Linked DNA regions of Elephas maximus indicus. The protein of the gene in region 2 purifies or fractionates together with the protein of the main gene of each other region. This does not show direct contact. Links are inferred from orthologs where the notes say so. Each region holds a gene or a part of one and is shown on either strand. Other genes may lie near its edges. The genes, in order: AGO3, DICER1 and protein argonaute-1.

Region 1 (3,745 bases), on a different chromosome or scaffold from region 2:
GTCAAGGATTCAAAAACTTTTCAGATACAGTTTCATCTGGTGACAGATTTGAAATTTTCAAATTTGGGTAGGGCATTATCTTTCACAGAGGTAGAGGTGGGAAGGAAGAAGAAAGTGAAGCACAATTGGAGTCAGACAGATGTGGGTTTGAATCCCATCCCCTTATTGTTTACCGTATGGTAGGTACATCTGATAAGTGCTTAGAAATCATAACTATAGTAAATATTATGGGTATCCACTAACATTTAGGGAGGGTTTTCTCTGTGCTTTATGTATATTCCCAAACCTCACAACAACTGTGTAAGGTACATATTCTTTCCATTTTTTCAGATGAGGAAACTGAAGCCCAAAAACATCAAGTGACTGATTCAAAGTCCCACAGTTGAGTGGAGGGAACTGAAGATATTTTTTCTCCTTCATCTTCTCAAGCTTTGAGAAAATGTATTTTGATTAAAAAAAAAAAAAGTCTAAATCTTTTGATATTTAGGGATGTAGGAAAAAACCATGAATCAGCCTAAATAAAATGGTATCATGTTTCATTCAGGCAACAAATATTTGCCAGTGTGCTGGCTCTGGTTTCCTTATGAGGCTTGCACTGTAGTGGGAAGGGGCCACACAAACTAGTGAAATAATTAGATTGAAATAAGGGCTACCAAGAAAGTGTTGAGATAGAATAACAGGGAGCGTCCTAACATAGCTGAGTGGTCCGAGAAGGCCTCTCTAAAATGCCTTAAATTGAGGGTGGGGAGGAGGGGGCAGGAGGGCTGACTGGAAAGGAAGCGAGAAAGGAGGAGAAGGTTCCTGGCCAAGTGCACCAAAAGCAGGCTCCTAGACGGAAAAGCAAAATGCTTTGCCGGTTAAGGGAATCAGAAGCTGAACAGTGTAGCTGTAGTAAAATGATCAGGGAGAGCCTTACTTGGAGAGAAAGGCAGGGGCCCCTTAACGGAGTGCGTTTTGGCCCTGGAAAGGAGTTTGGATTTTCTCAGTGTCAAGGCGGTATTAAGGAGTTTTAAACGTGGAAATTATTCGATCCGATGTTTGTGTAATGTCCTGTTCCTTAATCACCTTTTTCCAAAAGTCGTTAAAGCAACCCTACCGATTTGGGAGATAATCAATTGTGCGGGTCACTTGACCTCTTGTTGAGGGGGAGGCACTTGAGGCAGCCCAAACTAGGGGGCGGGGAGGGACGGACCAAACGTGCTCAACCGGGGGGGCCTCAGTCTCAGCTGCAGGTCCGGATCCTTTACTTGGACAGGCCTAGCTTTCAGGTAGGCTCCTCCCCAGGTAAGCTCCGCCGCCATCCGCGACGTCGCCTCTGGCAGGCCCCGCCCCCAGCAAGGTCGCGCGAAGAGCCCCGTCCCTCGGGGTTGTCTCCGGCCGGCACGACCAGCGGAGAACCGCTGATGGGCCGGCCCCGCCCCGCTCTCCTCCCGGGCCGAGGCTCCGCCCAGGCTCCGCGCCCGCTCCCGGACGCCTCCTCTGCGTCCTCCGCGCCGGCCGCGCCCGCACCGACGTCGCTCTCGCACGGCTTGGGGCGGAGAGGCGAAGCTTCGACGTCGGGCGAGCCGGGGCAGCGGAACTGACGCCAGCGGGCTTCCGGGGGCGTCCCCCGGGGGAGGTCGGTGGCACGGCAGTCGTGGAGGAGCAGTGGGAGCGTAAGCAGTCAAGGGCGACGCAAGTTCCGGACCGGGCTCCCCTTTTTCGCCTCATACCTCTCCTTCCTCTGGTTTAGTCCTGTGTGGTTTCCCGACGGCGGCTCTTCCTAACGCGAGCTTTCGGAGTGCAATTGCTGAGGAGGCGCAGTCGCCGCCCCCGTCCCGGGGCCGAGTGAGGGTGTCTGTCGCGCCGCGTCGCCCCCCGCGCCGCCTCCTTGCCCCCAGTGGTGGGCGCTTTTCTCACTCGGAGCACTCCCCCCAGCTCCATGAATGGAAATCGGCTCCGCAGGTGAGTCTGGGCCGGGCACGGTCGGTGGGGGTGTCACCCAGCTGTTGTCCCCGGAGCCGAGCATCGTCGCTCCTTCCACCCCGGCCCAGGTGCGCGAGGTGGGCACCCTCCGGGCGTCGTCCCTCTTCCCGCCCCCACGCCCGGCCTCTCCGCATCCGCGCCGCAGTTCTCCGGCGGCCACTGAGTTAGCTAAACTGCCTGGAGGGGAAACTGTGCTTAAAAGATTTAAGTTCATTGTTGTTTAGGCGATATTACTCATTTTTTGTGGAATACTCGTTCTCGAGTCAGGAACGGTTTGCCATCGGTTTTGTTTTTATAGTTGAAGAAGTAACGGTGTCCGTGTCCTCTAACTGGGTTGTGTGTCCCGTTCAGTCTCTGGGTGGCGAGCCACCTCCCTTACCTATCTCTTGAGGTAGTTGTGAAGATACATTGAGATAACGGAGGAAAAATGTTTGAAGTAGGTATTAGGTGCAACGTCAAATTTAAGATGGCATTTCTTCCATCCCCTAGTTATCTGTTAATGCTTGTGGCAGCGTGGTGTATAGTTCTGAGTAGCTTGGAGATGTCATATCAGCCTGGATCACTGCTTATGTGAGGAGGTGGATCTTAAAATTACTGAAAATATATATATTTTTCCATTCTCTGTACCCTAGAGAAGCAGTTTTCATTTTCCTGGGAATTTGGAATTTAGGAAAACTGCTTTCTCTCCTGGGGAAAACAGCAGTCTTGAAAAAAATTGCGATGTGGGCAGTTCTTTTAAAGAAAAAAAAAACAAAAAACATGGTGTGGTTCTAAAGTAATTACTTGAGGGACATAGAATAGCTGTTACATAACCGTTTGTTCATCAAATGATGATGCTTGGTATGTTAAATTTGGATGTATGCCTCATCCCGATGGTCACAAATTTATAAACTAATTTAAGAAAAAAAAATTTTGGGGGGGGGACATCTTGTTACAAATGGTATTATGAGTCTCTGAATTTCACATTTTCTTTTGCCAGTTTGAGAGGTACCTCAATATGATATAAAGAATTTTGTTGATAAGGAGTATAATTGTCAATTAGATGCAAAAAGCACTCAGAAATTGGGGGAGTGAAATGGAGAGGAGGTTTATTACAAGTTTTATTACATGGAATTTTCTAAAATCAGCTTCCACATCCTTTTAAAAATGGAAAGTTTGCCTAGATTGTGAAGAGCTTTGAGACACTTTTATTATTAATTCATGTATTTCAGAAGCTGCCCTGGTTTTGAAATTTCTACCATGCTCTTTGTTCTTACTGTATAAAAGGTGCAATGATTTGGGGCTATTTTACATAATTTTCTCTCATAGAAGCCCCTGGGTGATACAGATGGTTAATGGCTGCTAATTGAAAGGTTGGAGGTTTGAGACCACTCAGAGGCATCTTGTTAGAAAGCCTGGTGAACTATTTCATAAAATCAACCATTGAAAACCCTGTGGAGCACAGTTCTACTCTGACACACATGGGATCACCATGAGTTGGAGTTGACTTGGCAGCAGTTGGTTAACTGGTTGGTTAATCTTGTTGTAAAGCTGGAAAACAAAACATGAAAGTTAAACATTTAGTTATTAATCATAATAATCATACCAAAACTTTTAAAGATATATAAAAAAAAATTATTTTCTGTTTCTCTCCGCCCCTCACCTTTGGGTTTTTCATGTGAAATTATGCCCAAATATATGGGCAACAATTTAGAGTAAATACTTCTGAATTCACAATGCCTTAGCCAGCTATTACAACTAGCCGAAGTACAACTGGGTAAATGTTCTTACGAATTCTTGA
Region 2 (3,745 bases):
AAAATAGCATTTTGATGCCATGAGAAAATCCATAAACTCATGCTACCATTACCAATCTACCAGGCGCTCCCTGGCAACTCTATGGGGCAGTTCTACTCTGTCCCATAGGATCGCTATGAGTCGAAACTGACTCGACGGCACTGGGTTTTTGGGTTACCATTACCAATATTTATAACGATCATATTTAAAGCAATCTTTATAGTGCTTTTAATCTATAAACAGACGAAATTTATAAAAATACGGCCTGAAAATGAAATTTTGAAATAATTTTATATGTGTACATATAAATACAAGGAGTCATGGTGGCATGGTGGGTAAGTGCTTATACTAACCCAAAGGTTGACGGTTCAAACCCACCAGTCGCTTCGTGGAAGATGTGGCAGTCAGCTTCCGTAATGACTACAGCCTTGGAAACCCTGTGGGGAAGCTCTGCTGTCTTATCGCATTACTATATATAGACACGACATTTACTCATCTACCAACTGCCACGGAGTTGATTTTGACTCATAGCGTTATGACTCACTGTACATATACATACACAGCATTCACCCACTGCCATTGACTCGATTCTGACTCACAGCCAACCACCAACCTTTCAGTTAGCATCCCAATGCTTAAACACTGTGCCACCAGGGCTCCTGTACACGGCATACGTTACAGGTAATACACACGTACCGCAGCGTATTAAACCAAGCCAGACTCATTGCCCTGAGTCTGTTCCAACTCATGGTGACCCCATGTGTTACAGAGAACTCCTCCATAGGATCTTCTTGGCTGTAATCTTTACAGAAACAGATTGCCAGGCTTTTCTTCCGAGGTGCCACTGGGTGGGTTCCAACTGCCAATATTCACGTTAGTAACCCCGTGCTGTCAAGTTGATTCCAACTCATAGTGACCCTGTAGGTCAGTAGTCAACTGCAAAACCATTTTCGCCACGCAGGGACCTTACCACAGGTAGGCAGCTACTTTAAAAAAGATGCCTTCCAAAATAAACTGGTTATTCCAGAACCTAGCTCCCAAAGATATTAATATTAGTAAAACCACTATAGACTTGCAAGCTCGTTCAGAATCTTGTACCATCATCCATTTTTTAATAGAGCAAATTATTTGAGATCTTGGATAAGACAGTTTTTATTCAGAAATCAAATTAAGAGTTTAATGTTTGTACCAATATAACTTTCACTGTTTCAATTCAGCTTTTTTTAAAGCATATTAAAAGAAAAAAAACATTTTCGAAGTTACTTAACTCCTGACTTGTGCCCTTTTCCATTCGCTGAGCGTGCTGCACGCGAAAAACAAGCCACAAGAAGACAACTGCAAGATTGTAAAGCTTCGGAAGATTCAAAGACAAAAGAACCTGGATAAGCACAGACTTCAGAGGCACGTTTTTAAAATCTGGTAGTCATAAGAATATTTAGACTTAGGTAACGTGTCCTCTGCAGCATGACTTTCTTCACGAAAGCACCGACTGTGATCCTTGGAGCAAGAACTCTGCACGCATCTCCACGTGTTTACAAATATTCAGAACACTAAAGATACAGAAAGTGGCTTGTTAGCTCAGTACTTGTTAGCAGGCAAAGCCATCACAGAAGCTCAGCTTCTCTAAAAAGTCCACATAAATCAGTACTGCTAACTTGATTTCCCAAAGTTACAAACCCTTAGGAAAGTGTCCATCTACAGGGGCCAGGCATCCTGGCAGAAGTCATGCACAAAAACATGGGAGGGGAGGGGCAAAAAGATGGCCTAGGCCACTGGCCCCTGGGGACCCAGATCTGCTCGCCTGCCAGTAAACACAGACAACCCTTCCCGGGAGGGGCCCGAGGCTCCCGCTCTCCTGCCAGCACCGGGAGCCTCCTGGAGGGCCCCTGTCTACTCCGTGCTGGCCCTTTGGAAGGTGCCAGCGGAGGCCCAGCGCAGCGACCCCGAGCACAGCAGGTCCCCAGGATGCATTCGCGTCCCACCGCTGCTAATTCCTCCCCACCCTCATTTCTGTAACTGGACCTGTCAAGACCCCGGCCCTCCACCGGGCTGGGGGTCAGCGGTGAGCGCGGTACCGCATCCCCGCCCCATGCCAGAGCGGCCCCGGGGAGTCGCTCCCAAGCACCGCCTCGGGCGGAGGCGCGGGCGCTGGGCCTGTGCCAGTCCGGGGCCGAGCTAGACAGCGGGCGGCCGGGCCGGGCCCTGCAGGCCGCGCCATCTGCCAGCGGCGCCGGGGCAGCGAGCAGGCCCGAAGGCCGCGCTCGGGCCCGGGCAGGGCGCCCACGAGGCCTCGGCGCGCAGGCGGGAGCGGACCGGGCGGAGCGACTCCGCGCCCGGACACAAAGCGGCTCCGCGGGAGCCCGCCTCACCTGCAGCATGGGGCGCCGCGGGCCTTCGAGAACCATCGGACCCCGCTCCGGCGCGCGCGTCACAGCCCAGGCCGCCTGGGGCCGCCCGGCGCCGCCGCCGCCGCCGCCATTTCCTCCCGCTCGCCGTCGCCTCGTCCCCGCTGTCAGGTTACTCCATTCACCTGGGCCTGGAGCCGCCTGCGCCGCGCCGCGCCGCGCCTCCGCCTCAGCCCCTCCCGCCGGCGCCTGCGGAGACTGCGCAGCGCCCGGCTCGCCCGCAGCCCGCGCTCGGCCCACGGCAACGGCGCACGGCCGCTTGGAGAATCCCACTGGCACCCGCGCCGCCGCCGCCCCCTCCGCGCGCCCCACGTTCCGCGCGCCCCGCGGCGGCATGAGAGCCAGCCTGTGATTGGACGGAGCGCGGCGGTGAAAGGTTAATCCCGGCCCCCCAGCCATTCAGGAGCAGGGAGACAGCCGGCCGGGGCTGCGTTTGCGGCCCAGCGCCGGACGGGAGCCGGACGGGACCCGGGCGTTCCCCGCCTGCGGCCGGGCGGCGCGTTGGCTGCCTCCCCGGACCCGCGCGCGGAGGTTGGAGCTGCTGGCCCGACTGGCCCTCGGGAGGGTCTCCTGCCCCTCGGGACTCCGGTGCCTCCGTTGTCGCCCCCTCTGGCGCCCACGCCGGCTGGAGTTCTGCAGAGCTCCGCTCTCCTTCGCCACCTTCCTTCCATTGTAAAGCACCTTCCCACTCGCCTGCTTCCTCCCTGCGTTCGGCCGCGGGGGCCTCTGCTGCCCTGTTTGCTTCCCGGCGTCTTACTGCAGCGTTCGCGGTGCAGGCACCCCGCAGTTTGGAGAGAACAGACCCCCCACTGGACCCCCAGCCCTCTGGGAAGTGGGATAACCTGATGCTGAAATGGAGCAGCGGCCGCATGGGTGTCATTGGTTCCTTTGACTAGATCTGAACAAATCTACCGTACCCTGTAGCTGTGACTTGAAGTATGGATGGAGATGAAGTTAGGGGCTGCCTTACAGAAAATCCTCATTTGTCCACAAATGGAGACATCTCTAGGAGCCCTGGTGGTGCAGTGGTTAACGCTTGGCTGCTAACCCAAAGGCCAGTGGTTTGAACCCACCAGCGGCTCTGCGGGACAAAGAAGTGACAGACTGCTTCCATAAAGATTAGAGCCTTGGAAACCCTATGGGGCGGTTCTCTATCCTATAGAATCGCTATGAGTCGGAATGGACTACACAGCAACGGATTTGGTTTTTGGTTTTGTAGGCATCTCTTGAAAAGAATTCACCTGAAAGACTGGTTTACTCCCGGTGAGGTATAGTAGCAGCAACCATGCTTAGTAGCGGTTTTGTGATCCGTGGCTAACGTAAAGCTGACAATTGGAACCCACACGGCGGCACTGCGGAAG
Region 3 (3,745 bases), on a different chromosome or scaffold from region 2:
AACATGATTCAGTTCAAGTGTGAATATACTCTGTGTCATGGCCTATGCTAGGCAGTTGCTGGTTCCACAGATAAATCAGACACTGCCTCTGCACCTGACCAGAGTTGGCATACTTGGGCATAAGCCCAGTGAGGCCTGCAACAATGCCTCAGTTTGTGTGTGTCCTCGGGCTATCTCAAGCCATCACCCTAACTCCTAATAGTCTGAGCCTGGGAAGGAGGCAGTTATGGGGTTCCTCCACCTGAAGTTTCCAGAACTAATTTCAATTACACCCTTTAATGAAGCGAAGCCTGTCCCACTAGGCTCTTCCTAAGGCTACCGCAGACACCAGGCTTTGTCCCTTCCCTAGAACCTTATTTTTTGTAACAAACAAAAAGGTCAACTTTTTCCATCACTCCAGAGCCCATTATAAATTCATCAGGATAAAATCATCAGCAGTCTGGTGTTGGTATTGGTGCAAGCCCTCAGAAATTCATCTGGATCTCTGTGACCCACCGCACTTCTCTAGTCCACAGGCTGTTGCAAACAGGCTCCAGCCTAGAAAACCAAGAGAGCTCCTGAGATGATGACAGGCACCTAAGGGAGGGAGAAAGTAGTGACCACTGAAGTCAGTTGCTTCCTGAACTCTATTCCCATACCTTAGGGCCCACAGAGTCTCTGTAAGGTTGTTTCTCTTTTCGGGAGAAGAGTAGTCACTAAATATTTATAGATCACTGAATGGATAATTTGAGTGAGTTCGTAGGAGGTATTTCCTTGAAGGTAGAAGGTTTGATCTAAAAGACAAAGATCTTTCCACCAGAGAAGTAAATCCTATTTCCATTCCTAGACCAAATGGAAGGAGGTGATAAGAGGTCACCTAAAGAATTCCAGGATCCAGAATGTTCTTTCTCCCATCACAGGGTAAGAAAGAGACCTAGGACACAAGACATCCCAATACCCCACAGATCATCCTGCGGGCCCTAGTCTTCTTGGGGAGGCCTGCCTCCATTTCTCCTCTGTTCTTAGTTCCTTTTCTCCTGCTTGCATGTAAAAAAGGAGAAGTTAAGGCTATCAGCGGGAACTCAGTACACCAAGGTGCAAGCTAAAATCTCCCACCCTAGTCCCTCCCGACCTAGCTGAGCAACCTAGAGTCTAATGACATGGCTCTGACAGTTTCTGGGGGGTTGAGAGAGGGAAAAGGAAAGAAAGACTACAGATAACCAGTGAAGTATAGGAACCGTGAAAATATTGAGGTATAGGAAAAGATCAGGCTGTCACCTTAATACACATTTCAATAGAAAGGTCCTCATCCTTGGATTAAAAGCTTCAATCTCTATTCAGTATTGGCCCAGAAACTTGCAAAGAAGGCAGAAAATCCCTTCCAGGTAGACTTGGTCCTGGCCTTGGTCCCTCAGTAACGAACACCTTTTCTAAGGCCTATCTTCAGGGAGGACCCACCTTCACCCCCCAAAACACTGCTTTAGTCTCAGTCTTTCCTTACTCTACTGGCAAAGAGGAGCACTTTGGCAGTTTCTCTTAACCTTAATTGGGAAACTGTGACTGAGGGGCTTCAGGGCCAAGTGTAAGAGACCCCAAGATGGGGGAAGGGACCATTTCCACTTGGCCCTCCCAGCATAACGTTAGAGAATCCACCCCATCAGCTCGCTCCTTCTTCCAGGCCAAACCGGGACTAAGGGGTGGGGGAACGATCTCAGGCAGCCACGCCCCCACCACACTGGGCAGCCCCTTCCAGCTGCCACCTCCGCGCATGCTCCGGCGCCTCTGCTCCGGCTCCCCAGACTCACTGGGGGGAATCCCGCGGCTGGGATTCCAGCCCAGCTCTGGCGCCTTCTCCCCGAGACACTAACCCAGCCCAGCCAGGCTGAGCCCCCGCCCCCGGCATGCGGCTGCTCCGGGCCCATCTGTGTCGCCCCCTCCTCTCCGGGACACCTGGAGCCCGCCCCCTGCCACCTGCCGGGCCTCTCCCTAGGCCTCCTCGGATATACGCGAGTCTTTGCGTGCTACCAGGGCCTTCTCCAAGATTACTTCCCACCCCCAGGACTGCATACAGCCTCCTTCTACAAATGGCCCCCATCTCAGGGCTCCCTTCACAAGGTCTTCTCTCCCGGAACTGCACACAGCCCCCTTCAAACTGGGCCCCCATCCCAAGAGAGCCCCTCTCCTCACTCAGGAGCCCTTCCCTCACTCGGAAATCCCGCTCCTCACGCGGGAGCTCTCTGGTCCTTGGAGCACGCACAGCACCCCCCTTCCCCGGGGCCCTTACCTGCTCCCGAGGGTCCCGCTTCCATCCCATATACCCGTGCGGAGGTCAGGCGGCCTGGAGACTTTGGAGTCCAGCGTGAGGGGCCTAGGTACCCCGCACTTTAGCTGCTTGGGCTCCCGGGCCGGGCTCGGCTCCCCCCCCGAAGCCCGGCCGCTCGCACCGCCGCCCCCGCAGCCTCCGTTGCCGCCGCGGCCGCGGAGCCTGCAGCAGCTCCCCCTTCGAGCGCCCGGCCAGTTGCTAGTGCGCAGGCGCGGCCGCCAGGCCCAGGGGGCGGACGGGAACGAGTCAAGCGGGGCGCTCCGACGGCAACAAAGGCCAATGGAGAGGGGCGGGGGCACCGGGGACCGGAGGCAGCGGCCCCTGGTGGTCACCCGTCGCCATGCAGCCCAGCGGGAGGGCTCCCGTAGAGGCGCCGCGAAACCGCGCAGCGGCGTTAGTGAGGCTGGGAGGCCCACCCCCGCAACAGCCTCCGGCCCTGTATCTTTTTCCAAAATAATCCCCTCCAAACTTACACACAGACCCTCCTTCACACAGGACCACGCGCATATTACAGGGACCCCACCTCATACCCAGACCCCCCCCTACACACTCGAGCGCCCCATCACCCAGGAGCCCTGCCTCCCACCTCTCCTCCCAATCACCCTCATCCTTCAAGCCTCGGCTGCAAAGCGACTGCCTCCGCAAAGTCTTTCTCCGTCCCCAGTCGATGAACTCACTGACGCCACCCTGTCTTCCAGGACGTGTACTGGGCGCTGAGACCAGAGATACGAAACAGAGCCTGCCTACCCTGAAAGATGTACAGTCTCAACTCAAGTGCAGCGACAGAGCTCTATCTGCGGTACTCGGGAAGGACCTGCCTCCACTTTCTCATTTACAGCTCACGCCGTAACTCCGCCAATCTGCTTTCACCCTCATCACCTCACTTAAATGACTTTTTGTGCCGAAATCCAGTTGATAATTTTCAGTTCTTATTTATCTGACATCATCCGTGCCTCTCCTTTTTTGAATCTTCTACTTGGCTTCTGTATTTTCTGAGGTCTCCATTTTGTCCAATTCCTTTTCAGTCTCCTTTGAGGGCCCTCTCTTGCTTTTGCTCTATTAAATAATAGTGTACACCTGGTTCCCAACCCCGTTCTCTTCTCATTCCACTCTCCACTTTCCCCTTGAAGGTCTCATCCACTATCCTTTCAAATCTCTATCTCCAGCCAAGTCTCATATTCCCAAGCGTTTGCTGGACAGCTCCACCTGGATAGCCTATCAGCACTTCGTATTTAAGGAGTCCAAAACTGAACAAAAAAAAATTTTTTTTTTTGCTTTATTGTAGTAAATATATATACATAAACATTTGCCAAAACAAACTCTTTCCCCCACAAACGTGCTTGTCCTGTTTCCTGTCTCAGTGAATGACACCTTCATAGAAATGGCAATTCCTCTCTTTCCCTTGCTTCTTGTACCCGTTCAGCTGTTCACCAATTCCTGATA

What was found.
Region 1: the proteins of DICER1 (region 2) and AGO3 purify together in Homo sapiens (affinity purification with mass spectrometry; 3 studies listed by BioGRID and IntAct, with this or other methods). This does not show direct contact. The link is inferred for Elephas maximus indicus from reciprocal best matches to the Homo sapiens genes DICER1 and AGO3.
Region 3: the proteins of DICER1 (region 2) and protein argonaute-1 purify together in Homo sapiens (co-immunoprecipitation; 7 studies listed by BioGRID and IntAct, with this or other methods). This does not show direct contact. The link is inferred for Elephas maximus indicus from reciprocal best matches to the Homo sapiens genes DICER1 and AGO1.

Annotation. Positions count from the first base shown.
Region 1 is NC_064821.1:77,289,935-77,293,679, forward strand, and holds the start of AGO3 (protein argonaute-3), read left to right. Parts: upstream 1-1,358; 5' UTR 1,359-1,925; coding exon 1,926-1,944; intron 1,945-3,745.
Region 2 is NC_064828.1:108,718,002-108,721,746, forward strand, and holds the start of DICER1 (endoribonuclease Dicer), read right to left. Parts: upstream 2,440-3,745; 5' UTR 2,349-2,439; intron 1-2,348. UniProt on the Homo sapiens protein: Double-stranded RNA (dsRNA) endoribonuclease playing a central role in short dsRNA-mediated post-transcriptional gene silencing.
Region 3 is NC_064821.1:77,242,937-77,246,681, reverse strand, and holds the start of protein argonaute-1, read right to left. Parts: upstream 2,508-3,745; 5' UTR 2,289-2,507; coding exon 2,264-2,288; intron 1-2,263.